4 linked regions of the Tamandua tetradactyla genome follow. The protein of the gene in region 2 purifies or fractionates together with the protein of the main gene of each other region. This does not show direct contact. Links are inferred from orthologs where the notes say so. Each region holds a gene or a part of one and is shown on either strand. Other genes may lie near its edges.

Region 1 (7,747 bases), on a different chromosome or scaffold from region 2:
CAGGGCATTCCTGAGGGTTTTCAGGAATACTGTTGCTTGGAGCTTGGCATACTGTGACAAATTGCAATATCTGGCTGAAGCTCAAATAAGAGTAACCTCCAGAATACCCTCTCTACTATTTGAAATCTCTTGGCCAGTGAAACATTATTTTATTTAATTTATTTTCCACCTTTTGGTCAAGATGGAATTCTCTATCCTACAATACCAAAGCCAGATTCATCCCTGGGAGTTAGGTCACATGTTGCCAGGGAGACTCACACCTCTAGGAGTCATATCCCTTGGGGGTGGGGCGGGGTAGGGTAGTGAGTTTATTTTCAGAGTTGTGTTTGAGAGAGAGGCCACATCTGAGCAACGAAAGAGGTTCTCTGGGGGTGACTCCTAGGCATAATTATAAATAGGCTTAACTTCATCTTTGCAGAAATAAGTTTCATAAGGGCAAGCCTCTAGATCAAGGTCTTGGTTTATTAAATTGGGAGTCCCTAATGCTTGAAAGAATATCAGGAGTTCTCCAGGTTGGGAAGTTTAATAGTTTCACACTTTTCTCCAGTCCCTTAAGGGGACTTCGCAATTTTTTTTTCTGCCCAAAATACATTAGAATGCATCAGGGTATTACCTTAACCTGTACAGAATAACAAGATTTCACTCCCTATTCTAGGTTCCATGTAATTATGATGTTTAAATAAACTGATTAGACAGGTTAAATTAGATAGTGTATTTCAGAAAATTTAAATTTTGGACTAAATAGACATCTCTTCCTTTGGTCTCACATGGAAGTTGAGGTTTTAAAACACAGACAATATCATTTTTTTACACTGTATTCTGCTTTACCTTAATCCTAACCAGGTCCATTTCTTTAATATATTTAATTGAGGTCTTTTGATCTCTTTTTCAGCTTACCAGTTGGGGTATGGAGTAATGCTGACTATCAGAGCTGCAGAACTCTATGTCTGAGTCTCTAGTATCACACAGATACCCCAATTCCAGGGAACTACCAGGTTATATACAAAGAGCATAGCATCTCAGAATTTAGAAATAACAGCTAAAACTCAGGAACAGATGTGACTGCTATACGATCTCACTTTCTAGGAACCTTTACAATGAACCTTACTGAACCTTCTGTACTCCTTAATCATTCTCTGCCCAAGTTGTATCCCCTGATAACCTATGATCTCAGATTCAATTCTTAGGGTTTGCTCGTTATAGTTAGTTTATATTAGAGACCATACCATATTTGTCCTTTCATTTGTCTTATTTCACTCAACATAATATCCTCAAGAATTATTTTACCTAATTGCATGCCTCACGATTCCATTCCTTTCTGCCGCCACTCCATATTCTGTCGTATGTATACCCCACAGTATGTCCTTCTCTTCACCAGTCGATGTATTCTTAGGCTACCTCCATCCATTGCAAGCTACGAATAATGCCACCATTAATACCAGTGTACAAATGTCTACTCCTGTCCCTGCTTTCAGGTTTTCCGAGTATATACCTAATAATGTGGTTGCAGGATCATATGGCAACTCTATACTTAGCTACTTCTGTGGAGCCACCACACTGCCCTCCAGAGGGGCTGCACCTTTCTACTTCTCCACCAACAGTGAATAGGTATCTCTCTCTCTCTCCACACTTTCTCCAGTACTTGTACCTTGTGTTTATTTTTTACACAGTTTTATTCACCAACAAACAATCCATCCTAAGTGTACAATCAATGGCTCCCAGTATTATCACATAGTTATGTATTTCCATTTCTCCCCCTAAGAAAGAAGAGGAGAGAGAGAGAGAGAAAAAAAGGAGAAACATCAACAATAAGAATTCCATATCCCCCCACCATAACCTCCTTTTATTGGCATTTAGCTTTGGTTTATTTCCTTTGTTACAATTAATGAAAGCATATTACAATGTTACTGTTAGCTATAGACCTCAGTTTGGATTAATTGTATTTTTTCCATATACCATCCCATTTTTAACACCTTGCAATGGTGACATTCATTTGTTCTCTCTCATATAGAAGCTTTCTTATATTTGTATATTTAATTACCATCCTTGGCCACTCTAGATTTTGCTAAGTTATAGAGTCCCAGTTTTTGTGCTCTCTCTTTCCTTCTTGTGTCCTATGTGCCCCTAGCCTACCACTTTTCCATACAGAATCTTAACGCTATCAGGAATAGGAGATGGATAGCTCAAGAAGAATCACCTGCGATTTCCATGCTGCAAATAGGGGTAAGTGCTAACTGGGGCAAAGGGGAAGGAGAAAGAATGAGTTTGGTAGGTAGAGGTGGACTGCAAAGATCCCAAATGTAAGGGCAAGGAAGGAACCAAATGTCTATGGGAAATCTATGTAGTGAAAGAATGATTTTGGAGGAGGCTTATCAATTAAAGCTGTTCTGAGGACCTCACAACATCCTACTTATCGCTACCTCCAGTAACAAGAATTACTGTCCCTGGGTCTGAGGCCCACACCAATCAGTGCTCTGAGAGAACTGAGACTTTTCTGGCCAATGAGGGGGTACAGTGAGCAACAAGGCACTTTCAGAAATAGGCCTGATGACTATTATACAGATGACCTGTAACAACAGCATGAAAACAGAATCGGTCATATGGTACCTTAGGACGCATGCCCCTGAATGAGACACCATCATAGCTGACAGGTGACGAAGCAGACACTGGGTTATAACATAACCTGACTTGTGTACATTCTTCTTCAAGTCAAGAGAGGCAAGACTGATTTGATAGGACCAGGGGCAAAGGTTCCAAGACCTTTCCCTTCCAAGCTTCTGGTGACTGTGGAATCTGAGGGGGATTTTCAATAAATAGCTTGATGTACCCACCTGTTCCCTTGGCAGAAACCCACTTTCCCTCGTCTTTGTTTTAATGCCATGTGTGGCACAGAATTATGCAGAACCCTGTTTTAGTGCAAGCACTTTCTTCCCACTTGTAACTCGTAAATACAGAGCATGTGTGGTGTTAGAGCCTCAAGGGTTTTGGAAGGGAAAAGGGGAGAAGGTGGTGCTTTAGGAAAGAGGATTTTCAAGGTAGGTATTTCAGTCATTACTATTTTTTTTATCCCATTGTATTGTATGCATTTCTTTTGGCCCTCTCACTCCTTTTTTTTTGGAATGAGGCTGTGCAAAATATTAAGCACAGACTTTATGTGTCTTAAAAATAAAACAGGTGCAGTCACGAAGATAGAGGAACCAAGACAAAATAGGGGAGGACCTTGGGAGAATTAGCTGTAACCATAACTTAGATTGACAAACAGCAGATTTGAGTGGGGCTAGTAACAACAAGTCCTTACTTAGTGTTAGTGATCAGATGTTTAGTAACCAGATGTTTAGGAAACCTCTCAGGGATGTAACCGAAATTCATTCACCCGTGAGTCTGCCAGCGTGTTGGGTCTTGGGGAGAGTGGCAAAACTTTGATAACTGCTGTGGCTGGATAATGAGTTCTTGCGGGTTCATTATACTATGCCCTCTACTCTTTGGTACATTTGATCATTTTCCTAACAAGGTTATATTATATGTCCTTTCTTTCAAGCAAGAGCTAGACTGATAACATAAAGGCAAGTTCAACCAACCATTATGCTGCACTCACAGTATGAGTGGAACAGAAGCCCCTGGAGTAGGGTGTTCAGGAAGTGCTTCCTGATGGCGGTTCATTGTGTCTATAAATTCCTGCTCAGATTGAGTTAGGAAGCCCAAAACTACAGGTCTGATTTAGCCTCAGGTATAGGTTCAAGTGTTTAGGACTCAAGGTCAGGACGGAGGAACTAGCTGCTAGCAGGGTGTCATCTCCTTATCTACTTCCTTCTTTCCCCTTTGTTTGAAGTCAGCAGAGGTAAGCAGATATTCGGTACATCCAACATTTCCTGGGCATCTACAATGTGCAGCTGCCGCACAAATGCTTAGATTCTGCCTGGACCATTTTATAGGGGAGGGAAATGGGAGTCCGAGAAATTCCTCAAGTTGTGATGAACGCGACACAATCGGGCACCTGCGCGCCAGGAAACTCCGGGGAGAATAGATCAGAAACTTGGGATCAGGCAGAGGTAAATTCAAATCACGACTAGCTTCGAGGCTTTCAGCAAGTCACTTGACCTCCCTTGAACCGACTTCATTTCTCCATCTATTAAAAGGGTACAGGAAATCCTGTAAGTTGTGCAGTTTATCGAGCTTGACTGTCAAAATCCCGGCAAGAAGAGAGGGCTCCATAAATGGCAGCCATCATTCTTCTCGGCCAAGTGCGGGTGCATCCTCCGGGGCGCGCCTCCCGCGGGCTCCCCCGGGACACGCTGGGCCCGCCCCCGCGGCGGCCTCGCAGTGCTCGCGGCAGGTGGCCCAGCATCCTGGCGCCCACGCCCCAAACAAGCGGGGAGTGCGGGTGGGTGGGACGATCGAGATCTCTCCTAGACTATCCGCTGCCCCTCCCTCTACGCGCCCGGCGCAGGTGAGGTTTCCAGCCGGGGCCAAGGGGACAGCGACCTCTGGAGAGGTCGAGGCGGAGAGCGCAGCTTGCGGCCCGGAGTGCGGTGCTGGGGACGCCCCCTCCCTTGCCCGGCTTCACCCCAGGGCCATCCCCGGCGCTTGGGCCCGCAGGCTGCGCGCTCTGCGGCTGCGAAAACCCGGAGAGGCGGATCGGAGCGCGCTCCCAGCGCTGGCAGCCAACTCCTCCGCGGTCCGGCAGCCGAGCTGGGCATGCTCAGTGCGGCCGCCGCGCTGCCGTCCGCCAACTAGGAAGCTCGCGCTCCCGGGCTGTGGGGGCGAGAACGCCGGCGGCTGCGAGCCGGCGTCGTCCGCCGCCCCCAGACAGTGGCAAACTTCGTGGCGTCCCCGGAGCTCGCCTGGACTAGACTTGATACCTTACAAATAAAATAAAATCGAGTTCCCTAATCCTAACCCGAATCATGGAGGCTGCGGCCGCCAGAGTGCCCCCGCCGCCGCCGGCCCCTGCCCGCTAGCCAGTGACCAACAGGTAAACTGTTGGGGGGTGGGGGTGGAGGAGCTGCGGCCGGGGGGGAGGGCGGCGGGCTGGAGGAGCCCGAGACGCCCGCAGTCTGTCAGCCCCGATCTGCGCTCGCTGCCGCCCCTCTCGACCCGCCCCCAACCCGCCTCTGGAGGGTCAACAAAGGGTTAAGTCGGCCCCGCGCCACAGAGAGCACGGCCGGCTCCAGCCGCCGCTGCCGCCGCGACCACCAGCAGCGCGTCTCGGCGCCTGCCCGGAGCCGCGGAAGGGACCCGAGTCGCGGATGCGCCACCGGAGCCCAGCGGGAGTCTAGGAGGCACCGGCCGCTCCTCAGCTGCCCGCAGCCCTCCTCCAACCCCTCTAGGCCTCCCTCCCTCCGCACCGGCCGGGTCCGCGCCCAGGTGGCGGGGTCTGCAGGGCGCGCGGCGGCGGGGGAAGGGTCCTTGAGGCGAAAGAGGGATGGGGGCGGGCCGCTCCGCCGTCCCCTCCCTGGGGAGACGGGCCCCTTTGCCTTGGGCGAGCACTTGAGCCACCCGCTTAGTCGCCAAGAAAAGTTTTTTTTTCCTCCCCGCGCCCCTCCCCCACCCCCACCCAGGGCCCAGCTGGCGTGGGTTTGGGTCCATTGGTGAAAAAAGTCACACGTTCCCATCAGCTGCTCCTCCCCCTAGGGACGGGGCGGGGGCGGGAGGCGGGCGCCGCGGAGGACCCAGGCAGACCTCCTGGTACCTCCGCCGCCTCCGCCGGAGCGCCGCGTCCCGGGGCCCGAGCGCAGCCAGGTGCCCGCCGAAGCCTGCCCCCATCAGTGCATGTCTGCGTGTCGGGCAGCGGCAGCATCCAACCTGCTTTATTCCTGCCTGCAGCGCCACAGCGAGTGAACGAGCAAGGAGGGGGAGAGAGGGAGTCTGTCTGCAAAGTGCTGCTCCCTGGTGCTCAGAGGCGGCTGCTCCAGCTCCAACTCTCATTCATTTCGCCGGTTAACATGAGAGATCATGGCCGCCTTCGGGCTTCTCAGCTATGAGCAGAGACCGCTGAAGCGCCCCCGGCTTGGGCCGCCCGACGTCTATCCCCAGGACCCCAAGCAGAAGGAGGTGAGGACGTTGTCGGCCTCCCCGGCACCCGGGGCCGCGCTCTGCAGCGCTGACCCGGGGCCAAGTTGGCCCAGCGGGCATCGTCGGCGCTACGGGGGAGGGGTCGTGGAGGGGGGGCTGGAGGCGGGGGCCGGCCTGGGTCCCCCGCGGCGGAGACCCAGCGGCAGTCAGTCCCTGCGCTCCACTGGGGCGCTCGCTTTCCCGGTGTCGGGTCGCTTCCCGGTTATCGGGCCTTGCACCGCGCCGCTGGGTGCTTCACGGGGTTTTTCATTGCTGAAACCCTCCTACTCGCTCTCCCCCGCTCCTGCCTGCTTTATTCCCCCCCAGCCGCTTCGGTAAATCCTCGTAAACTTTTTGAAAAATGTTGGAATGCAGTGCATCCGACGCCGAGGTCTTGCGTTTTGCGCCAGTTGAGCCGAGAAGTGGAGAGGGGGAGGTGATGGTCGGGAGCATCTTTTCTCGTCTCAGATTTTCCAGTTTGGAATGGAAGTCGTTCTTGTCGGGGTGATAAATAATTTAGCTTTCTGAATATACTTTTGCACCCCCTCTCCCCTTTAAAAATCAATATTTAGGAGAAACACTGATTTTCGTCTCCAGAGGCGATTGGATTAATTGCTGAGGCTGTTTTATGTATGTGAAAGGAGGGAGATTACCTTGGAAGGGAATAAGTCCAGGATTGCTTATTCCTTTGAATGAAATTAATTGGAGAAACCTTGACACTTGCACCAGGTACCACTAGCTTCAGTGGCGAGGGTAACCATGGCATTTTGTAGTCATGTATGTGTTTGTCAAGAGTTAACAAGTACTTATGTAACAACTCTCCAGTTATAATGATCACCCTTGGCTACACGATTTGCCCAGGGACTTGCCTTTTTTTTTTTTTTTTAAGATCACCTGCTCCCCAGCTGTACTACAGAATTTGTCAGCTGCAGCCCACGTATTCTCTGCCCTCTTCATCTAAACAGGAGCTGACCACATTTCAGAACTTATCTTTTTGGAGATCTAAATTTCTCTATTAAAAGTTTACAGGGCCACCATGTAATGGAAAGGGTCTTGCAAATAAGGTGAGGAGGGGTCCTTAAGACTTCCCTTTGATAAATGTGTATATTTTGATATTAGAGGAAGAATGCTTGTTCTGGTTAAGCTGTTTTATTAATAATATGTCTGAAAAATAAGGAGGGACAACTCTTTTTAGAGGTTTCACACATTAAATATGTTTGAGCATCAGTAGAGTAGTGCAGATTGAAGCTGGGGAGGTTTCCCAGGTGTTTCCCAGGAGAGGCTCATCGTGAGGACAGGTGAGTTTGAAGTTCTGCAGCTTTCTTCCCCACTCAGTTCTGTCCATGCATCCCTGCACCAGAATAATGTGGATTGCTGAGGACCAAGAGTAGAGAAAAGTTCCAAAGAGTGCTCATTTACCAAAGGGTAATAACTTAAGAATTGTTGTTAGCAAATCCTTAAAGGTTTGGTGGGGACAGAAGCATTTGTTGGCTGATCTCTAGCGTCTCATAATTGATATCTTGCTACATCTTTCCACAGTTGTCATAACTGGTGACACCTCCCCAGTTATGAGATGGTGGCTTGCGATGCCAAGTGGGCCTCTTTGGCATTTCATTATTTTGGGCCACACTCAAGTCAGGATTGGGACCGCTGCGATTCTTGAAATAATAATTTTGAATTTCAGGGTCTTAAGCAT
Region 2 (7,048 bases):
GTATGAGTAGGGGGTTTTGGTAAAGAAAGTGTTCTAGTTTGCTAGCTGCCAGAATGCAATATACTAGAAACAGAACAGCTTTTAAAAAGGGGAGTTTAATAAATTGCAGGTTAACAGTTTTTAGGCTATGGAAATGTCCCAAGTAAAGCATGTCTATAGAAATGTCCAATCTAAGGCATCCAAGGAAAGATACCTTGATTCAAGAATTCCAGTGAAGTTCAGAGTGTCTCTCTCAAGCAGAAGGGCATATGGCGAACATAGTCAGATTTCTCTCTCGGCTGAAAGGGCACATGGTGAACATGGCGTCCTCTGCTAGCTCACTCTATTGGCTTCCTGTTTCATGAAGGAAGCATTTTCCTTCTTCATCTTCAAAGGTCGCTGGATCGTGGACTCTGCTTCTTGTGGCTACATCGTTCTGCTCCCTCAGAATTTCCAGCTTTCTCCAAAATGTTTCCTCTTTTATAGGATTCTAGTAAATTAATCAAGATCGACCCGAATGGGTGGAAAATATGTCTCCACCTAATCCATCTTAACAACCACTCTTGATTGAGTCACATCTCCAGGGAGATGATCTAATTACAAGTTCAAACATACAGTACTGAATAGGGATTAGAAGAAACGGCTGCCTTTACAAAATGGGATTAGGATTAAAACATGGCTTTTCTAGGGTCCATGCATCATTTCAAACCAGCACAGAAAGATCATATTCAATTGCAAGAATCAGGACAGGCTTCATGACTAAGTTAGGCTTTGAGATGTGCCCTTGAGAATGAGTATGACTGCAAAGGTCAGTGATGGTATTAGCACGGGCTTTCCAGCCGTAAGAACAGGCATATTAGGCAAGGGTGTTAAGTACAAATGTGTAGGTAATGAAGGCCTCAACAGAATGACTGTCTACTGGGCTTGCTAGGTACAGGAATTGGGAAGTTCAGATAATAGCACAGTGTGTTCAGTTTCAGAAAATTTAAGTTGGAAATGTAGGGCTGGTGCTTGGGAGGCATGTTAAGTCTGGAGATGTTCAATTTGGAACGTAAAGAAAACCACACTTTAAGAAGGGAAGCATGAGCAGTATTTGGGAATTGCTTGGAATGGAGACCAATGAGGGTCATAGACTCTACAACATTGGATCTCATCACACAGCAGAGAGATAAGTGAAATCAGCATGACCTGAGGTTGTAAACTGACACTGAAATGAGAGCTCCATGTTCCTGATATGTGTAATTCATTCAAATAGCACGTAAGTCTGAACCTCCATGCTTCTAACCTCAGGAAGCCCATTCTTAAACAGGTTCTGCTCCTCAAATTTTGGAATACTTATATATAAGTCTCTCCTAGCTCACCTATTTGGCTCTGCAGGCCATTTCTTATCTTTCAGAATTAAGTCTCTGGCTGCCGTTCTTCCCCTTCCTCCAAGCATGGATGCAGGTCCCATAGCTAAGATCAGGCTGACAGCTTGGGGATAACAGAAGGGAATAACCATGCAGAAAATAAAACTTAAAACTCGATGTCAGATATTACTGCTCTTGACACATTAGCCCTACTCCTCTGGAAGGAGCCCCTAATGGCCATTTCTTCCTTAGGTCCCCATCCTGAGGCTGTGTTAAGGGGCTAGCTTACCTTGTACCACCATATTTCCCCAACTTGGAGGTCAGACCTCTAACTCTCAGAAAGAATAGCAGGCCATTCTCTTCCCTGGTCAAAGGTCAGCTTCTGTTCCTGCCTGGGGATTACTGTTAGGACATTTAATTCCTTCAGAAAGAATTCTTACCTTCATCTAGGGTAGATCAAAATGTTAGACAAAAGTACGTTTTAAAAAGTCGAGGATCTTCAATGTTCGGGAATATCACACACAGGTGGTATGTATATGGAGGAGTGGGGGGGTGGGCACCCACAGTGTAGGACCAATCCTAGCTCCATGCCTCTTTACAATCTTTCTTCCAGAGGAGTGACTTCGTTTCTCAAGATCTACAAGTAAATACTTGGGCAAAAAGACAGGCCTCTCAAGAAGCACAAAATAAATTTCTAGGAGGAATCTGGTCTACAACTCCATTGAGGAAAAAAAAAAAAAGAACTTTTAACTATGCTAAGGCACAGTCCTGCTAGAGTCACTCAGTTAATATCCCTGAATAGAAACATGTAATATCTCATTAGTGAAAGTTACATTTGTTATGCACTTACTTTCAGTGAGGGCCTTTTATATCTTCATTTTCAAAGAAACTGAAGCTCAGAGGTAGTCAAGGATATGCTGTTAATAAATGGCAAAGCAGAATTCAAACCTTGGCCCATCTAACCAGAGTCAAAGTACTTAAACACCAAATAATATTGAATGTACTATGTAAAAATAGCTTAATTTAAACCACTGATGAAGTTATTATTTTCTCCAAAGAAACTTATATAAGAGAAGGGTCCTGTGGAAGAGTTTAAAGAAAATACTATCATCATCACATCATCATAATTTCTGCAGGGATATTTTTAATATAACATGTTTATTCATTCATTAATTCAACAAATGTTTACTGTGCATGATGCTAGGTGTTATGGAAGATGCAAATATGATTTCTTATAGAAATCCATGAAACAGAATTTGACGAGGGCCACAGATGGGGGAAGTTGGGTGGGAGAGTATTATGGGGGTTTAAAAACTGTAGAGACATACCCTGTTTGGGACTGGGGAACTATAGTAGAAATGGTAGAAAATGCAAACCAAAAAGTTAAAAAAGAAACAGACATGCAAATAAGAGAGACAAGGCAAAATGAGAGATTATTATCAAGATACCAGGACTCTTCCTACAGAGTCCTTTCCTGCCTTAACATTGTCAACAAATTAGCTCCCATGGATTTATTCCCACTACTGTAACTTCATGGCTAAAAATTGGTGCTGTTATAGAGAATGGTGTAGAAAGTCGTACCCTAAACAAGCTTCTGTCTGAATGCATGGGAACCATTTGGATGATCATCTATCTGCAGAGCAATAATATTTGGAGCAGAGCAGACATTCCTCATTGATTCACTTCTCTTGATGTTTGCAGTGTGTCGATAACACTGTGGAGTCCTAATGAGATTGTGAACGCTAAGAGTAGCCCCACTCATAGCATGTGCGCTGTTTACAAACATTATACAGGCTTTTTCCCATCATGAGCCTGCTCTTTAAAATCTGCAGTTCGGGAGTTGCAGACTGTGATTCTGACATAAACCAGCATCCCTCACTCGCGCATTTCTTTACTTAAGTTAATGGCTCAGATCAGACTCTGAAGATGTCGTTGCAAAAAAACCCAACAGCCCCCACCACATCCCCTCCAGCGACTTGAACTCATCCCACCTCGAACTACAAATCCCGTCCAGCGGCTCAGCCCACGTTTCCCCTGTGTGGGGCGGAGTCGTGGAAGGGGCGGGCGCAGTGCGACCGGTGCATCCTGGGCATTGTAGTGCGGACCAGCCCCGGCTGGGCACCCGGCGCACGGTGCGTCCGTCGGGGGCTTTGGTCAGCCGCCCCCTCACCGGGTCCCCACGACCCGGCCCGCGCGACCGCCCGACGGAGCAGACGAGGGCGAAGTGGGGGAGGGAGGTCCAGGCCGCTCGACAGCCGAGGGAGCCCCACTTGGCGACGTTTTGCGACAGCCGGGCCGGATTCTGCGAGTGCCCGCCCTCCTCCTCTCTCTGAGGAGGCACCGGCTGTTGTGTGGCGGCTGCCTTTCTGTCGGAGTGTATGGGTGCGCGAGGGAGTGAGTGAGGGAGTGTGAGTGTGTGCGAGAGGGAGAGGAGCGGGTGCGTGTCGGAGGAGGAGGGCCCGCCGCGCCGCCCGCCGCAGCACAGCCGCGGGAGCAGCCGGGCGGCCGAGAGGGCTGCGGGAGCCGGCGCCGCGGAGCCCGGGGACAAGGGCAGACGCCGCGCCCCGTCCCCAGCCTCCCTCGCCTGGCCCCGCCGCCCCCCTGGATGCCCCCGGCGCTCCCGCGGGGCCTTCTGCTCTCGCCGCCTCCGTCGGGCCGGTGCTGCGGCCGCCGGGCGTAGAGCGGGCGTGTTCCCGGGGGCCGCGGCCGCCCGTGCTTCCCCGGCGCGCAGCCCGGCCGCCCGGCCCCCCGACCCAGCTCCCCCGCCTCGGAGGCTGTGACAATGGACTATGACTTTAAAGTGAAGCTGAGCAGCGAGCGGGAGCGGGTCGAGGACCTGTTTGAATACGAGGGCTGCAAAGTTGGCCGAGGTACTTACGGTCACGTCTACAAAGCCAAGAGGAAAGATGGGTGAGTGCGTGTGCCCCTCTGACTCTCGCAGGCCGAGGCAGGTGGCGGGGAAGAGCGGGGCCGGCTGCCCTGCTCCCACTTCCTCGGCACCCGCGTCTGGCCCCGCCGGCCAGGTTCGGGGAGGAAGTGGTGTACGAGGGATCCAGAACCACAAGTAATCCTGCGTGCTGCCTCTGTGTTCTTCTGGGTGGCCGACGGGGAATAGGCGCCTCTTTCCCGTGGGCCCTGATCTCTTCTAGGGTTTTAGTACTAGATTTTTTTTTTAGTTCGTTATACATTGTCAGTTTATATTTTTGTTTGTTGGTTTTTGTCGGCTTATAATGGTCACCTTCTGGGGATTTCCTCCCCCGCCTCTGGAGTGACATCGGTCAGTCTGGAAGGCAAGCTGATCCTTTCCCCTGACCAGCTTGTAATCGATTTATGATCACATTTAGGTTTTATTTGGGGGAAAGAAGGCAGCACGGAAATGTGGTTGTTGAGCGTTCCTCTTTGTGATCATCTGTAAAATAAATGTAGCAAGTGCTGCTTAAATATCATCAGCTGTGAGTTTTTGCATAGAACAATGGGGGGTTGCTGCAGGGTAGATGGATGGTGGGAAAAGGTAAGTGACAAATAGGGGCTGTATGTTTAGGCTGTTCCCCCAAAATTTAGCAGCTAGGAGTGAACTTTAGTCTTTTTTGCTTTAAACATTCTTCCCTAGAAATAGCATAATTAAATCTATGACCAGCAGTGCTCCCAGTTTAGTTTCCTAAGCAGTCAAGAAAGTGTTCATTATTTTCCTTTGTCAGTAGATGAATGACTTATAATGTCTTGTAATATTGACAAAAGAGAAGACATTTCTTAGTTGGGAAGAAAATATATTTAAAAATGTATTTAACTCTTCATTTTCCTCTTACAAAATGGGTGTTGTCTATGTTGCCTTGCCACTAGAGAAAATTGTTGGGAAGATAACGTCAAAGCTTATTAATTAATAATCTTTGGAGTCTATTGGAAACAGAGTAGCTTTACTCGAACAGCACTGTTAATTTGTTTGGTTGCTATGTAACATTTAAAATAAGTACTTTTCTTTTTTTCTCCAAATTAGTAGAAGATATATTCTAGCACTAAAAAAAAATCGAAACCTTTCATAAAGCTGAAATTAGTTACCTGGAGTGAGAGGGGAAGGCAACATTTATAAAACTTTAGCTAGATCATGGAAAAGAAAGGTGTATTTAACACTTTTCTTAGATTTACTGAGATATCTTTCTAAAATAATTTAAAATAGATTCCAAGAGGAAGATAGTTCTAATTAACTTGAAATGTGTATTTCAGTGCTTTTATGCAGCAGTTAAAGCAATATAGATATCTGCAGAAGATAGGGATTTAAAAACTTGATACTCTGGATGCCACATGATTTTTAAAAGTACTTTTTAGTGGAGTGGATAGTCTAGTGACGTTTGAGAAATCTGCGTCTGGAGATACTGCTGACTCTCTTGTCTAATTAGATTTCTTTTTAAAGCATAACTCTGTAATGACATACATATTTTAAAAACTATGCTTAATTAGCTTACCGTACTATATTTTTCAAAAGTCTTAAACCATTTCCCCTTCACCCATCCCCCAATATTACATAATTTGTAACATATTAATAAAATCCCCAATCCCATGAGATGAGACATCAGTATATTTCACCAGTTGGTCATCTGTTTTATAAAATTCAAGGGACTTTAAATTATTGTTAATTTCTCTGAGAGAAGCCCGTTCTGTTTTCATGAATTACCAAATCATGCTAATAAGAAAATGCAAATTTGATTAACTTCATGTAATGTTTTATTTTAAAACCATAATTTGTATATTGGCCGGAGGTACTTTTTAAGCACATTGAATAGCTTAGTCCAAATTTCAATTTAGGCTGTCAAGAATAATTTGAGAAGAATTACACAGTTTAAACGTGGCTGAATATATAATTTATCAAGTTTTTTTTTAGTCATTTATGATAGCTGAAAAATAAAATTGTGTTTTGGAAAAATAACTTTTTGTTAATAATCTTTAGTCTTGTTTTCCAGCAGCCTATAATAATTTTGTTTATATGATGAACCTTTTTTTAATGGATCAAATATCAAGAGAGTTTTAAAATTACTTAAAATGGTTTTTGTTGTCCAGAGGGACTAGTTTTCAGGTTGGCTTTTTTTGTAATTTCACTCTGGTAAAATACAGCACTGTATTTACAAGGTTCTTTTGAGCTTATGTCAGTGAAATTCAATTTAATGTATTTTGGTCCTGGTGAAATAAAATTTGTGGCTGTTTAATCTTTTCTAAAAAGATCATGATCAAATAATTTATTTTTAGTATTATTTGCTTTCAAATTAAGTTATAGTTTCTGCAATTTAAATTTCAGAGTACGCTGGAAATCCAGACAGTAACACCTTCAAAGACAATCCTAAGATTTACAGTAAAGTGAAATAATATAAATATTGTTTTATTTAGACATGTTTGACTATTAAAGTGAATGAAGTAAATATTGTATCCTTTTCATTTGTCAGGTGAGCATCATAAAGCGTTAATAATCGGTAAAAAGAATTTAGACCAAAGGTGTTAGCTTCTTACGTTATTTTAGAAAATAAAACAACTCAAAAGATAATTTGTTTGATTTAAGGGATTAGTAAAATTATCCTGCTTGTATACTGCACTTATGAAAATCTCAACATTTTTAAGGAATGTAGGGAAAGGGAAAGTACTTTATTGGAGGCGTGATCACATGCAGGGAAAGGAGTCTTTTATGATTGTATTAATTTCAGATTCTAATAGAGTTAAAATGTAAATGCACAATA
Region 3 (7,270 bases), on a different chromosome or scaffold from region 2:
AAGGGAGTTTTGCACAACGAGACAGCTGCTTCTTGCATGAAGCAGCTCCCATGACTCATGCGTGAAAAATGTTTGTTATCTGCTTCTTGCAAAATGTTTGTTATCTGCTTCTTGCAAAATGTCTGTTATCTGCTTCTTGCATGAAGCAGCACCTGTGACCCATGCTCGACCCTCACCCCCCTCCTCCTACCCCTTAAAAGCTTCCCCAAATCCAGGCTCGGGGCTCTCTGTTCCTGCATGTTCAGTGAGCCCCACGCATGTGTGGTAAATAAACCCCTTGCGTGTTGCATGAGAGAACGTCTCTTGGAGTCCTTTGCGTGGCAAAACTCTCGAATTCTTACAATACGCCTTAAAGTCAGGTAGTGTGAGACCTCCAACTTCATTTTTCTTTCTCAGGATACTTTTAGCTATTTGGGGCACCCAGCCCTTCCACATAAATTTGGTTATTGGTTTTCCTATTTCTGAAAAGTAAGTTTTTGGGATTTTAATTGGTATTGCATTGAATCTGTAAATCAATTTAGGTAGAGTTGACATCTTAACCAAATTTAGTCTTCCAATCCATGAACACAGTATGCACTTCCATCTATTTAGGTCTTCTGTGATTTCTTTTAACAATGTCTTGTAGTTTTCTTTGTATAGGTCTTCTGTCTCTTTAGTTAATTTTATTCCTAAATATTTCATTCTTTTGGTTGCAATTGTAGATGGAATTCATTTCTTGAGTTCCCCCTCAGATTGTTCATTACTAGTGTATAGAAACACTACAGATTTTTGAGTGTTGATCTTGTAACCTGCCCCTTTGCTGTACTCATTTATTAGCTCTAGTAGTTTTGCTGTGGATTTTTGGGGGTTTTTGACATATAGTATCATATCATCTGCAAACAGTGAGAGTTTTACTTTATCCTTTCCAGTTTTGATGCCTTGTATTTCTTTTTCTTGTGTAATTTCTCTGGCTAGAACTTCCAACACAACGTTGAATACAATGGTGATAGTGGACATCCTTGTCTTGTTCCTGATCTTAGGGGAAAGTTTTCCATTTTTCCCCATTGAGGATGATGTTAGCTGTGGGTTTTTCATATATTCCCTTTATCATGTTGAAGTTCCCTTCTAATTCTATCCTTTGAAGCGTTTTCAACAGGAAAGGATGTTGAAGTTTGTCAAATGCCTTTTCTGCATCAATCGAGATGATCATGTGGTTTTTCTGTTTTGATTTGTTGATATGGTGTATTACATTAACCGATTTTCTTATGCTGAACCATCCTTGCATACCTGGGATGAATCCTACTTGGTCATGGTGTACAGTTCTTTTAATATGCTGCCGGATTTGATTTGCAAGAATTTTGTTGAGGATTTTTTGCATCTATATTCATAAGATTGGTCTGTAGTTTTCTTTTTTTGTAATATCTTTGTCTGGCTTTGTTATGAGGGTGATGTTGGCTTGGTAGAATGAGTTAGGTAGCTTTCCCTCCTCTTCAATTTTTTTGAAGAGGTTGAGCAGAATTGGTACTAATTCTTTTTTGAATGTTTGGTAGAATTCACATGTGAAGCCAACTGATCCTGGACTTTTCTTTTGGGGGAGCTTCTTAATGACTGATTCAATTTCTTTGTGATCGGTTTGTTGAGCTTGTCTATTCTCAAGCCAATGTTGGTTGTTCATGTCTTTCTAGGAAGTTGTCCATTTCATCTACATTGTTGAGTTTATTAGCATAAAGTTGTTCATTGTATCCTCTCATTACTTCCTTTATTTCTACAGGGTCAGTGGTTATGTCTCCTCTTCCATTTCTGATTTTATTTATTTGCATCTTCTCTCTTCTTTTTGTCAACCTCTCTAAGGGTCTACCAATCTTATTGATTTTCTCACAGAACCAACTTCACCTATTCTTGATATTTCCTTTGTGCTCGTTGATTTTTGTGATTGGGTCTAGTGTAGGCTGCTTCCAAAATGTCTCTCTACATATTCACTCTCTTGTGTTATTCTCTCCCTTTGGCATGCAAGGGGACCTATGACTTGCTTCTAACCGAGTATTGCAAAGGTAAGGAGAGTCTATAAAGACCATGGCTTATGTCTTGCTTCCACTTTCTCTCTTCCTGACATTTTCTTTTGCCCTTTTGCTTGCTTTGATAAAGCAAGTTGCTCTGTTATGGATTTTGCAATGAAAGGTTTGCATGGTGAAGAACTGAGGGTAACCCCTGTCCAACAGCCCTTGAAGAACTGAATCCTGCCAATAGTTACGTGAGTGAGCATGGAAGCAGATCCTTCCCTGGTTCAACCTTGAGATGACTGCAGCACCAGCTGACACTTTTATTCCAGCCTGTAAGATACCTGGAAGCAGAGCACCCAGGTAAACTGTGTAGGGATTCCTGACCAAGGGAAACTGTGAGATAGTAAATGAGGTTTGAAATCACAATGTTTGGACATAGTTTGTTACATGGCATGCGATAAGTTAGTGCCCTTTATTTCTTTCACTATTTGGAACTTTATGGTATGTTATGAACTGGGCCATCCCAGCATGTGGGGCCCTTGGGGTCTACATCTACTGAGTGTGGCTTCTGTGGACTCTTGCTTATATTTCTCACCTCTGGCTGGGGATCTTTGTGAACTTGTTACTTGATCGTGATCTGAGTCCTCTGTGTAGGATTTACTCCTGTTTCTGTGAGTCATCAGGAATGCATCCCACATGGAGCTGCTGTAGCGGCCTGCCCTGGAAGGTCCTGGTTTAACTAGACAACCAGACTCAGTTGTCGGATTCAAACTGTCCTCAGTTCCTGGAGACATCGGTGCAGGCAGTTTTGCCCAAAAAACCAACACACAACACCCCTGCCTTTTTGTTTATTAATTTCTAGTTCTCTCTCTCCCTCCCTCTCCCTCCCTCCCTCCCTTCTTTGGGGAGAGGATCCTGGAAGAATACTCCTTCCTCTTATGAAACGACCAATATCTTAAAAACAGTTTCGTCCGCCTAGTCCATCATAATTCCAGAAGTCTAGTCTAAAATACTTAATCATTAATTTTACCATTCTTAATACACATATAGAAAGGCTTAAAACTCAATTATGTCAACCAATCAAGCATTTAACCTATCTAAAGAAAAGTTGCCTTATGAAGTTAACAGGGCAGATTTTAATTTCAGGTAACATTTAAATACTTGTCTTACCTGTTGATCATTTTTCCTTTCTCAATGTTACTTTTATTTCCTTTTAAAAACTTGCTAGAAATTCAATCATGCTAGCATAAAAAAGGAGTGGACTGTCCTAGATGAAAAGAAACATAGGAGTCATAATGTCTAAATAATATGTGAGTCGCCGTTGTTCGGAGACTGACTCAAATAAAACAATTGTAAAAAGACATTTTGAGAGAATAGGGGATATTTGATTATGGTGCTAGATGATACTGAGAAACAGCTGTTAATTTAGTCAAGAGTGTAATTGGAAAGTGGTTATGCAAAAAAAAAAATCCATACATGTTTAGAAATGCCTGCAACCACATAGAGGTAAAATGATAGGGTTTCAGGGATTTGCTTTACGAAGTTTCAGCAAAGACAAAATGGATGGATCAAGTAAATGTGGCAAAATGCTGATTCTTCTGCTGTTTTCAAAGGGAATGCAGTTTTTTGGCAGAAACATATATCGCCAAAATGCATTGGAGCAAGTCGTCCCGTTTACATTCCCACAGACAGTCTGTGAAATTGTTCCTTTTACCCAAATTCTGCCACCTCAATGAACATCCATATCCTTTCTGATATTAATTACCACCACAAAAGCAAAACGCTATCTCACCGGGCTTTCTGTCAGCACTTTTTAATCGATGAAGACAGGCAGCTGTCATATTTTTATTGGCCATTTTTAATTTCTCTTTGTGTAAAGGCTGCTCAGGCTCTTTCCCATTTAAAAAAAAATTTAAAATTAAAAAAGACTATGTCCATTTTTCTACTTTTTTATCCATTCGTAAGATTCATTTGTGTAGTAAATTTTGATTCTCAGGTATGTTGCAAAGACGTTTCCTGTATATCTTCCAAACATGGCATTGTTTCGGTGGGCAAAAATATGCCAGTATTTTAAGTTTTCTGTCTTCGGGATGATGCTAAGAAAATCTTGGCCGGTTTTCAGAATGATACAGCGCGTTTCTTTTTCCTTCGGATATTTTTATGGTTTCGTTGTTTACATTTTTAATCCACCTGGAACGTATTTGTTTTGGGGCCAGTTTCCGGCTCCCTTCCCAGCAAACAACTAGCAAGTGTTGCCTAGCAACTTCCACCGGGTTAGGAGCTCGGCTTCTTTTCGGGGAAAACAGCCTCGCTGGCTTCCAAGTTGTTTGCAGCCTTAAAGCGTTGCCGAGCGACGCCCATTTCGGACGCTCTGATTGGACCATTCACCCATCCTGCACCCGCTGGAGAGAATGTAACTAGAAACTTAAATCTCCCTGTTGAACACAAGGGCAGCGTACGCGTCGCATAGCAACTAGGTCTCCTCACCAGCCCAGGGAGACCAGAGTCGGAAACAGCGGTGCCCCGCTCAAAGATGGCGGCCGACGGAGCCGCTGTCGCTGTGTTTTGTTCTGGATGATCCAGTCCCCTATTCGCTCTCCCGCACCAGGCTCCCGAGATGGCTCACTCTGTCCCGTCTGGGTCTCTCATCGGGTGGTTGTGAACGAGGACGGGGATGGAACCGACCGCCCTGCCTGCCCTGTACAAGCATGGCCGCCGGCGTATCCCCAGCGGCTCGAAGCCGCCCTGCGCGGATGCGCGCGCAGTTCAGCGCACTTCCGGTCATCCCGCTGTGGCGGCGGTGGCTGTGGTGGCTGCGGCGCGGGCTATGGTCCCCGGGTCGGAGGGCCCGGCCCGCGCCGGGGGCCTCGTGGCCGACGTCGTGTTTGTGATCGAGGGTACGGCTAACCTGGGTCCCTACTTCGAGGGGCTCCGTAAGCACTATCTGCTCCCGGCCATCGAGTGAGTGCCGTTTCCGCGACTCCAAACCCGCCCTCCTGCTTTAGTTTTAAATGGCCTTTTGGCTAACCTCGACTTTTGACCTTTGGCCCTGATAGGTATTTTAATGGTGGTCCTCCTGCTGAGACGGACTTCGGGGGAGACGTGAGTCTCGGGACTGTTTGAGTGTGAGGGAAGAGGGGGCTGGGGGCCCAGACTCCCAGGTCTGAGGGAGGAGGTTCTGGGGGTCGGGACTCTGGAGTCTGACGGAGGAGGAGACTGGGGGCCCGGATACCTGGGGCTGAGGGAGGAGTGGGGTGGAGGCCGGGACTCCGGGGTCTGAGGGAGGAGGCGGCCGGTAACCCAACTTTTCTGAAGGATCAGGGTGCTGGGAACTCAAGTTCAGATTCCTCTGTCCTTTTCTCCCAGTATGGGGGGACCCAGTACAGCCTCGTCGTGTTCAACACGGTGGACTGCGCTCCCGAGTCCTACGTGCAATGCCATGCTCCCACCAGCAGCGCCTACGAGTTTGTCACCTGGCTCGATAGCATTAAGTGAGCTTCTTCCCTGCTGGGGTGGGTTGGGGTTCCCATGAGGGGCCATGAACTGGCCGTGGCTTGGAATTGAGCTTCAGGAACCATTCATTCCCATTGGCTAGTTGAAAGGACTCAGCGAGGAAAGATCGCGTGTTGGTCCCATAAGGCACCTCTGTGGCGGGTTTTGTGAGATCGTCACTGCTTTGGATGGAGACAGGTTTTGCAGCCAGAGAGTCCTGGTTGAGCTCCAGATTCCACTTCATGTCCTTCTGTGCCTCCCCTCCTGTTTTTCTCTTCTGGTTCCTGTCTCCTCCAACCCTCCTTGTTCAGATAGGCACATTGAAACTTTAGTACAGAAAGCTCACACCTGTGGCATCATAGATCCCCCTGGGTTTAAGTCAGAGTGTACTAGTTCATTGGAGTTTGGCACCTGGGGTCCACCACCTAACACTCAGACCCAGGAATCCCTGCTCCTCTGGACCTTGTACAGTTCATCTCTAAAAAGAGATATCAGGATATTACTAGACTCTGTTTTACTTACTTATTGTATTACTTACCTACCACCATGTTCAAAATCACCCTAAAACTTAATGATTTAAAACAACAAGTGTTTATGGTTCGGTGGTAGAATGCTCGCCTTCCATGCGGGAGACCCAGGTTCGATTCCTGGACCATGTACCCCCCAAAAAAGAGAAAACAGAAGTGACTTAGCTGGGTGCTTCTGGCTGGGGGTCTGCTTGAGACTGTGGTCAGGATGTCAAATGGGCCTGGAGGATCTGCTCCCAAGCTGGCACACTCTGTGGCTATTGGCAGGAGGCCACAGGTCCTTCCCACAAGGCCTCTGCCTGGGGCTGCTGGCATGGCCTCCTAACATGCCAGCTGGCTTCCCCCAGCTCTGAGCAATCCAGCAGAGAGAGCAAGGAGGAAGCTACAAGGCTTGTTAGGCTTAAGCCCCAAAAGTCACACCCATCACTACTGCCACATTCTCTTTGGTGCACAAGTTAGTCCTGTCCAGCGTGGGAGGGGACTGCAGTAGGGCATGAGCTCCCAGGGGTGGGGACCATTGGAGGCCACCTTGGGGCTAGCCACCACGACATCACAGGGGCACTTTGAGAATTTTAAATGAGTTGAGAACTGCTTTGCAAACAGTGTTTGGCCCACGTGAAGTGCTATGTTTGTGTGTGCTAATATTTTGTGCCTGAGTTTCCTGGTTTATAAGTGAATCTTAGTGCTTTTATGACTGGGGTCATGGTATTCCATTTCTTAGTGCTGTTGACAGGAGCTCAGGGGCTAATCTTTGCTCTGGGCTTAGCTCAAGTTCTGATCTGGTCTGGTATTAAATGGCTATTTAATGGGCTATTAAATGGCCCCTGTTTTAGCTGCTGTTTCTTTTTTTTTTTTGCATGGACAGGCACCGGGAATCGAACCCGGGTCCTCTGGCATCACAGGCAAGCATTCCTGCCTGCTCAGCCACCGTGGCCCAGCTGCTGTTTCTTGTTAGCGTTGTTCAGCCTTGTTTGTTGAGTGTCTGCTTTGTTTCAGGCTGTGTGTGCAGGTGTCGAGCCTGCAGTGAAAAGTAGACTCCTAAGCCTCCCTGTTGTGGTTATTAGAATTAGTCGTAAGTATAGAATGAGGTTTCTTAACCTCAGCATTTGTGATGCTTTGAGCCAGAGTGGTCTTTACTGTGGGGGGTGTGGGGAAGGGGCGTGCATACTGTGCACTGTAGTGAGTTTGACAGCATCCCTGGTCTCTCACCTACTGGTTACTGGTAGTGTAGCTGCCCAGCCCCACCCCCTGGGATGTGACAACCAAAAATAT
Region 4 (7,792 bases), on a different chromosome or scaffold from region 2:
GGGGGGGGAATATGTATTTTTTTAACTTTTTTGTATTAATTAAAAAAATTAACAAACAAAACATTAAGATATCATTCCATTCTACATATACAATCAGCAATTCTTAATATCATCACATAGTTGCATATTCATCATTTCTTAGAACATTTGCATCAATTTAGAAAAAGAAATAAAAAGACAACAGAAAAAGAAATAAAACGATAATAGAGAAAAAAAAGATTATACATACCATACCCCTTACCCCTCGCTTTCATTTACCACTAGCATTTCAAACTAAATTTATTTTAACATTTGTTCCCCCATTATTTATTTTTATTCCATATGTTCTACTCTTCTGTTGATATAGTAGCTAAAAGGAGCATCAGACACAAGGTTTTCACATTCACAGAGTTTCATTGTGAAAGCTGTATCATTGTTCAATCATCATCAAGAAACATGGCTATTGGAACACAGCTCTACATTTTCAGGCAGTTCCCTCCACCTCTCCACTACATCTTGAACAACAAGGTGATATCTACTTAATGCATAAGAATAACCTCCAGGATAACCTCTCGACTCTGTTTGGAATCTCTCAGCCATTGACACTTAGTCTCCTTTCACTCTTCCCCCTTTGGTCGAGAAGGTTCTCTCAATCCCTTGATGTTAATTCTCAGCTCATTCTAAGGTTTTTCTCAGTCCCTTGATGCTGAGTCTCAGCTTATTCCAGGATTTCTGTCCCACGTTGCCAGGAAGGTCCACACCCCTGGGAGTCATGTCCCACGCAGAGAGGGGGAGGGTAGTGAGACTGTGTTGGCTGGAGAGAGAGGCCACATCCGAGCAACTAAAGAGGCTCTCTTGGGGGTGACTCTTAGGCCTAAATTTTAAGTAGACTTGACCTATCCTTTGTGGGGTTAAGTTTCATATGAACAAACCCCAAGACTGGAGGCTCAGCCTATAGCTTTGGTTGTCCACACTGCTTGTGAGAATATCAAGAATTCAACAAGAAGAAGCATCTTAACCCCAAAGCCATGACTGAAGTCAATCTTTGTGAACATCTGCTCCATCAGATGTTCCCGTTAAGTAGCGTATGCTGAATAAAGGATAGCGGCTACTATTTAGGAAATCCAAGGAGCCCCACACCCCCGCCGATTCCCAAAGTTCCTAGATGGTGAGATGGGCCCTGCTCCCACCCTGCAAGGCTTGCTCTGAGGGACAGTTCTGGTCTCCAGCCTTAAAGGTCAAACCGGTCTCAAAAGGAATGGGCCGGTGGGCAAGGACCGTGGCGTTCCCCAAAGGTCCTTGAGCTGGGTGGGGGGTGTGCGGGGTGTGGGGAAGGGAACCGTACATCGCGCGCGCCTCAAGGCCGAATTGAGGCCACTCACCCTCTACCCCTACCAACACTTTTTAATTATCTGTCCACCATAGTCTGAGATGTCTCCTGGTACTACCCCAAGCCATTAAGAATTACACAGCCTCATTCTCGTTCTGCACTCCAGGAATCCGGGCTGTCTAAATGAACTATCCAGAGAGCCTGGCTCAGACTGTGAGTTACAGAAAATTTAAGTTCTAGGCACAATAAACCTCTGTGCCTTTAATCTCACACGGCAGCTCATATGGTACATACATTATCATCTTTTACCCTGCATTCTGATTTGCATTAGACCCAGCCAGACTGACTTTGTTTTAACCTCTAATTGAGGCATGATCCCTTTCTCTGTTACTTCAACTGTTGTTTTACACAGCTATGCTAACGTTCAGGTCTGCAGCCCGCCATCTCAGGGACTCAGGTGTTGCAGAGCTAATCAAAGTTCCAGGGAAATACCAGTCATTATACACAGAGCTCAGAGTCTCAGAATCCAGAAATACATCCACAACTTCAGACCAGATGTGCCGCTCTAAGGGGCCACGATTCAGGCTCTCATTTTTTTCATACAAGCGTTTTTTGAAAGTGACCTTAGCATCATTGTACTCTTGTTTTCTGGTTCATTCTGCACAACCTATTATCTCCAAGGTTTATCCAGTTGGTCATGTGCCCCTCGACATCCTTCCTTTTGTAGCTGCACCAAATTGCATCATATAAATGTATCATTCGCCATTGTACTTCTGTCATTGTATCCTTTGGCTCCCTCCATCTATTGGGCATCATGAATAATGTCTCAAATAAACTATGTCTTGCAGTATCTTTATTTGGTTGTACAATTAGTAACACACTCAATTTTAGACTATTTTCATTGGTCTATAATGACAAAGAACTGGCAAACATAACATCACATCAAAACTGCCCCATATCACTTATCCCTCTCCCCACCCCTACAGTACCCCCAGTTATTTGTCCCTGGTAGTGCTGTGGTACAGCCGATGTCCTCCTGTTAATTATGGCCAATTAATTTTTGACAAGGTTCCCAAGTCCACGCAGCTGGGACAGAGCAGTCTCTTCAGTAAACAGTGCTGGAAGAACTGGATATCCAGATCCAAAAGAATGAAGGAGGGCCCTACCTCACACCCTATACAAAAATGAACTCAGTGTGGATCAAAGACTTAAATAGAAGAGCCAGTACCATAAAACTCCTAGAAGAAAATATAGAGAAGCATCTCCAAGACCTGGTACATGGGTAGGCCATGGTGGCTTAGCAGGCAGGGTTTTTGCCTGCCATGCCACAGACCTGGGTTCAAATCCTGCCGCCTGCTCATGTAATTAAAAAAAAAAACCCTAGTGAGTGACAGGCGGTAGTTCCTTAGACCTTACACCCAAAGCACAAGCAACCAAAGAAAAAAACAGATAAATGGGAGCTCCTCAGAGTTGGATGCTTCTGTGCTTCCAAGGACTTTGTCAAGGTTGAAAAGGCAGCTGACTCAATGGGAGAAAAGTACTAGGAAACCACAGATCTGATAAGGGTTTGATATCCAGAATATATAAAGAAATCCTAGAAATCAACAATACATAGACAATTATAAAATGGGTAAAAGACAGGAATAGGCATTTTTCCAAACAGGAAATACAAATGGCTAAAAAGCACATGAAAAGATGCTTGTCTTCATAGCTATCAGGGAAATGCAAATCAAACTCACAATGAGATCTCATCTCACACCTACAAGAATGGAAACAAACAGGAAAGTACAAGTGTGGGAGAGGATGTGGAGAAACAGGAACACTTGTACTGTTAGTGGGAATGTAGAAAGCTGCAGCCACTGTGGAGGACAGTCTGGCGGTTCCTCAGAAAGTATAGAGTTACTCAATAACCCAGCAGTGTCACTCTAGGTATAGAACCAGAAGATTTGAAAGCAGCGATGCAAGCAGATATTTGCACACCAATGTTCACAGCAGCACTGTTCACAATTGCCAAAAGATAGAAACAACTCAAGTGTCCACCAACCAGTAATGGATAAACAAAATGCAGTGTGTGCCTACGATGGAATACTCAGCGGGAAGATGGAATGAAGTCCTGAAGCATGGAGCCTGGGTAAACCTTGAGGACATAATGCTGAGTGACATAAGCCAGACACAAATGGACAGATATTGTATGATTTCACTGATATGAAATAATTATAACAAATAAACTCATTGAATTAGAATCTAGAATACAAGTAATCAGGGAATATAGAGAATGGGGACCTGCTGCCTAAATTGCGCAGAATTTCTATTTAGGTTGACTGTAAAGGTTTGGAAATGAGTAGAGGTGATGTTAGCACGTTTTTGTGAGTGTAATTAGCACTGAATTATGCGTGTGAGTATGCTGGAAAGGGGGAAGTTTTGGGTGGTGTATGTCACCAGAAGGGAAGCTAGAGGACAACACACAGAGAGCCTTGTGTTGGATGATGTCTGTGGTTGATTGTACAAATGTAAAAATGTTCTTTCATGAACTAGAACAAATATATGAGACTATTACAAGATGTTAATAATCAGGTGGTGTATGGAGAAAAATACAACTAATGCAAACTATGGAAAACAGCTGTAATATTGTAATATTCTTTCTTCAACGTTAACCATGCCAAGGGTCAATTATAGGGGGGAATACAGGATATGGGATTTTTTTTTTTTGAGTAATGAAAATGCTCTAAAATGATCATGGTAATGAATGCACGACTACGCGACGAAACCGTGAGCCATTGCTTGTAGACTTTGGATAGATTAATGGTGTGTGAATATGTCTCAATGAAACTGCAAAAACAAGACAAAAGCTTTAAAGGCCGAAGTTAGGTCTTGGAAATCTAAGCGTAAAGTCTAGAGCAGGTGCATGGCTGCTTGGTGTGAACGGGGCTTAGGCGCCCAGTGGTGGGCCAGCCCTGAGCACCTGGGCCTCCCAGGCCAGAGGGCTTTTCTGACAGCCAATGACTGCCTTTAGAATCCAGCAGGGAGAAGGAAAGTGCGGGATAAGTACCGGAGCTTGGGGCCGAAGCTGTGGGGTCCTCAGTGGGCAGGTCACCCGCCCCAGAACTTTAAGAAACAAGAACTAAAATATGGAACGCTTCACGAATTTGCGTGTCATCCTTGCGCAGGGGCCATGCTAATCTTCTCTGTATCGTTCCAATTTTAGTATATGTGCTGCCGAAGCGAGCACGTGCTAGTGGTTCGCAGATGCCGTATTTATAGGGCTCGAAGAAAATATCTTTACAGGAAGGGCAAATTCTTTTATAGTGTATAAGAGTTTAGCAATCAACATGTTTTCTGTGATATTAATATAAGATTTTGAGTAACTTAATTTTGTAATTGCTAAATGGAGCTGAGGAAACTCGTCGTTCTACCAAATAAAACTGCGGTGGCTGTTGGGAGTCTAGTCACGCCTATATGCAAATAGATGGCCGCTAGGGAGAAGCCGTTGCCGCCGCCATCCCAGAAACCTCCGGAAAGCCGCAGCACCGCGCGCGCGACTCGTTGGTGACGGGGAATATGGCGGCTTCGGGTCCGGAGAGGTATGGTGACTGCAGGCCGCAGCCGCCTGCTTGTCTTGGTACCGAGCCGCTGGATGGGCGTGGGGCCGCGGGAGCTCGGCGGGGTCTCTGGGCTTTGAACCGGCGTGTGGTCGGTTCGTGTGGCCCTCAGCGCAGCCGGGAGAAGTCGGGGGATGCCCGGACGGGCGGGGTTTGGAAGGCCAAGAGGCGGGGCCTGTGAAGTCAGGGGCGGGGCCTGGAGAGCAAAGGGTGCCGGGTACACCCCCGGGAGGACCGCGTTGGGGCGAGGCCTTGGGGTTGTTACGGAAACTTGGGAACAGCCTGAGGCGACCTGGAGGTCGGGGGTCCTGGGCTAGGAGGAATTGGGGACGGGTGGTGGAGGGCAAACGTGGTGGGTGGCAGGCCTGAGGCGTGCTTGGGGCGGGCCCAGAGTTTTCGGGGGTGGGGCTTGGGGCGGGGTCTGGAGTGCCAGGGGCGAAGCCTGAGACGAGTTCGGGGCATTTCCTAGAGGGCCCGGGGATGGGGCCTGAGGCCGGCTTGGGGCGGGGCATAGAGGCCTCATAGGTGGAGCCTGAAGCTAGTTTGGGGCGGGGCCTAGAGGTCCCAGCGGTGAGACCTGAGGATCTAGGCAGGACTTGGGGGCGGGACCTGGACGGGGGTGGTGTCTGGCCAGCAAAGGGCTTTGAAAGTGTGGCTTTGAGAACTTTGTAGGGGCTTGTGACTGGATCTTGGTGGTGTGGGGGCAGGGCTTAAAAAAGTAGGGCGACTGGGCTCTGGTAATGGTGAAAAGAATACAGCCCTGCTTAGTTTCTCCTGCTGTTACCGCCATTGTTGTCGTCGTTATTTATTTAATGCTTGTTGCCAGGGCTGTGGGTCGTGAAAGTGGGGTTGGTTCTGGGGCATGGCCAGGTGTGGAGACTGAGGGAAGTTCTGAGCCGTGTTTAGAGGTCCCAGGTCTGGGAGTGCTGGAGCAGGGAGCTGGGGTGGGAGCCCAGGGCCAAAGTGGGCTTCTCACCTGCCATAGCCCAAGGCAGAGCCATTGTCCTTTTGTCCAGAGCAGAAACCCTGAGTCGAACCCGATTCCTCCCTGCCCAGGGTAGGTCCCTGGGCCAGATCCCAAAGCCAGTCAGAGGGTCCTGTTAAAACATAAATCAGTCTCGGCCTTCCAGGGCTCCCACCCTGCTGGGGACGAAAACCCAAGCCCTCCCATAACCCTTGGAGTCCTGCCTTCTCTGCCCTGTTCCCCCCTCCCACTCTCTCCCTCTGCCCCAGCCACGCACCTTCCAGCACTCCTTGAACACACCAGCCCTGGGCCAGCCTCAGAGCCTTTGCATGAGCCATTGCCTCTGCCAGTAATATTCTGCCCCAGTGAGGGTGCCCAGCCCCTCTCTACCTGACCCCCCTACCCCCAGACCCAAGGGCAGGCATCAGTCAACACTCATGACGAGCCCACCCTCCTCCCCTCCCTCAGGAGCTGATGACCGTCTTTGGTGCCTACCCTCGGAGCCTGGCCTGCGGTGCTGGGTGCAATGGACCTGGCTTATGTCTGCGAGTGGGAGAAATGGCCCAAGAGTACCTACTGCCCATCGGTGCCCCTAGTCTGTGCCTGGTCCTGCCGCAACCTCATCGCCTTCACCACAGACCTCCGCAGCGACGACCAGGGTGCGCTCTCCCCAGCCCCCCACAATCCCAGAGCCCTTGGCACCTGCCACAGTGGAACCCTGGGCCCCTCAGGCCTGCCTGGCACTCCCAGAACCACCCCTTACCTAGCAGGTGCACTGGATGGTCCAGGCTCACTCAGAGACTCCCCACCTCTAACTTGGGGTCTCGCTTAGCTCCCTGTGGCTGTGATAACAATGGACCACAAACTGGGGGGAGATAAGCAATAGAAACTTGTAGACTCAGTCTGGGGGCCAAAAGTTGGAAATTGAGGGTTCAGCAGGGCCTGACTTCTCGGGGGAGTGTCCCTCCTGCCTGATCTGTGCTCCTTGGCCTGTGGCCGCATCTCCCATCCCTGCCTCCATCTTCCTGTGATTGTCCCCTTTGTGTCTTCTGTGTCCATGTTTCCCTCTTATCATAAGGACGCCTGTTGCCGGATTCAGGCCTGCCCTAACCCGCTGTGGCCTCATCTTAAATAATCACATCTGCAAAGACCCTACTTTCAAATAAGCTTACCTCCCGAGGTTCCTGGGGGTGAGCATTTGGGAGACACTCTTCCACCCAATAGAGGGTGGTGGGGTTGAGGGGTAAATGCAGTGTCAGGAGACCCTTGGTTCACCCCTGTGGGGGCACGTGGTGATTTCTGCAGACGGCCTGAATGCACGTCCCAGGGCAGACAGTGGCCGGGCCTGGCTTCTCCCCATTGTTCGAATAATCTGCTTGTGAGAGGAAATTAGAAAAGCACAGAAAATCAGAATAAAAAAGGAGAGCCAGCCGTAGCCTTCCATGGAAAGATGCCCACTGTTACTTTTTTGGGTCATTTTCCTCTAATTTCATTCTAAGCCTTTTTAAAAACTGGCTGTGATCACAATGGCAGTACAGCTGCACCCACCCTGTCCCCACCATGGGAGGTGAGCATATTCCTTGCATTAGTGCCATCTGCATGCTTGTCATTGGCTCCGAGGTATCCTTGTGGGTTTTTCAGCCATACCTGCCCCTGGGGCCATGGGGGCCTTGGGGACTGTGTTGTCCTCGCCAGGCTGTGGCCCGGCAGCACTGACCATGCCCTGTCTCCCCAGATCTGACCCGCCTGATTCACATCCTGGACACAGAGCACCCCTGGGATGCCCACTCCATCAACTCGGAGCATGAGGAGGCCATCACGTGTCTTGAGTGGGACCAGTCAGGTGTGAGGTGGGGCCGGGGCATCCTCAGGGCCCATCGTGGGTAGGGGTGGTCACCCGCAACCTGGAATCCAGGGAGC

What was found.
Region 1: the proteins of CDK8 (region 2) and MED12L purify together in Homo sapiens (affinity purification with mass spectrometry; 3 studies listed by BioGRID and IntAct, counting the BioPlex papers as one, with this or other methods). This does not show direct contact. The link is inferred for Tamandua tetradactyla from reciprocal best matches to the Homo sapiens genes CDK8 and MED12L.
Region 3: the proteins of CDK8 (region 2) and MED25 purify together in Homo sapiens (affinity purification with mass spectrometry; 8 studies listed by BioGRID and IntAct, counting the BioPlex papers as one, with this or other methods). This does not show direct contact. The link is inferred for Tamandua tetradactyla from reciprocal best matches to the Homo sapiens genes CDK8 and MED25.
Region 4: the proteins of CDK8 (region 2) and MED16 purify together in Homo sapiens (affinity purification with mass spectrometry; 10 studies listed by BioGRID and IntAct, counting the BioPlex papers as one, with this or other methods). This does not show direct contact. The link is inferred for Tamandua tetradactyla from reciprocal best matches to the Homo sapiens genes CDK8 and MED16.

Annotation. Positions count from the first base shown.
Region 1 is NC_135331.1:44,633,236-44,640,982, forward strand, and holds the start of MED12L (mediator of RNA polymerase II transcription subunit 12-like protein), read left to right. Parts: upstream 1-4,736; 5' UTR 4,737-4,972; intron 4,973-5,823; 5' UTR 5,824-5,952; coding exon 5,953-6,051; intron 6,052-7,747. UniProt on the Homo sapiens protein: May be a component of the Mediator complex, a coactivator involved in the regulated transcription of nearly all RNA polymerase II-dependent genes.
Region 2 is NC_135330.1:191,475,221-191,482,268, forward strand, and holds the start of CDK8 (cyclin-dependent kinase 8), read left to right. Parts: upstream 1-4,044; 5' UTR 4,045-4,110; coding exon 4,111-4,238; intron 4,239-7,048.
Region 3 is NC_135342.1:11,337,541-11,344,810, reverse strand, and holds the start of MED25 (mediator of RNA polymerase II transcription subunit 25), read left to right. Parts: upstream 1-4,266; 5' UTR 4,267-4,653; coding exon 4,654-4,940; intron 4,941-5,035; coding exon 5,036-5,081; intron 5,082-5,345; coding exon 5,346-5,470; intron 5,471-7,270. UniProt on the Homo sapiens protein: Component of the Mediator complex, a coactivator involved in the regulated transcription of nearly all RNA polymerase II-dependent genes.
Region 4 is NC_135337.1:82,091,548-82,099,339, forward strand, and holds the start of MED16 (mediator of RNA polymerase II transcription subunit 16), read left to right. Parts: upstream 1-4,785; 5' UTR 4,786-4,890; exon of another isoform or gene 4,891-5,221; intron 5,222-5,692; exon of another isoform or gene 5,693-5,698; intron 5,699-6,340; 5' UTR 6,341-6,398; coding exon 6,399-6,531; intron 6,532-7,607; coding exon 7,608-7,715; intron 7,716-7,792. UniProt on the Homo sapiens protein: Component of the Mediator complex, a coactivator involved in the regulated transcription of nearly all RNA polymerase II-dependent genes.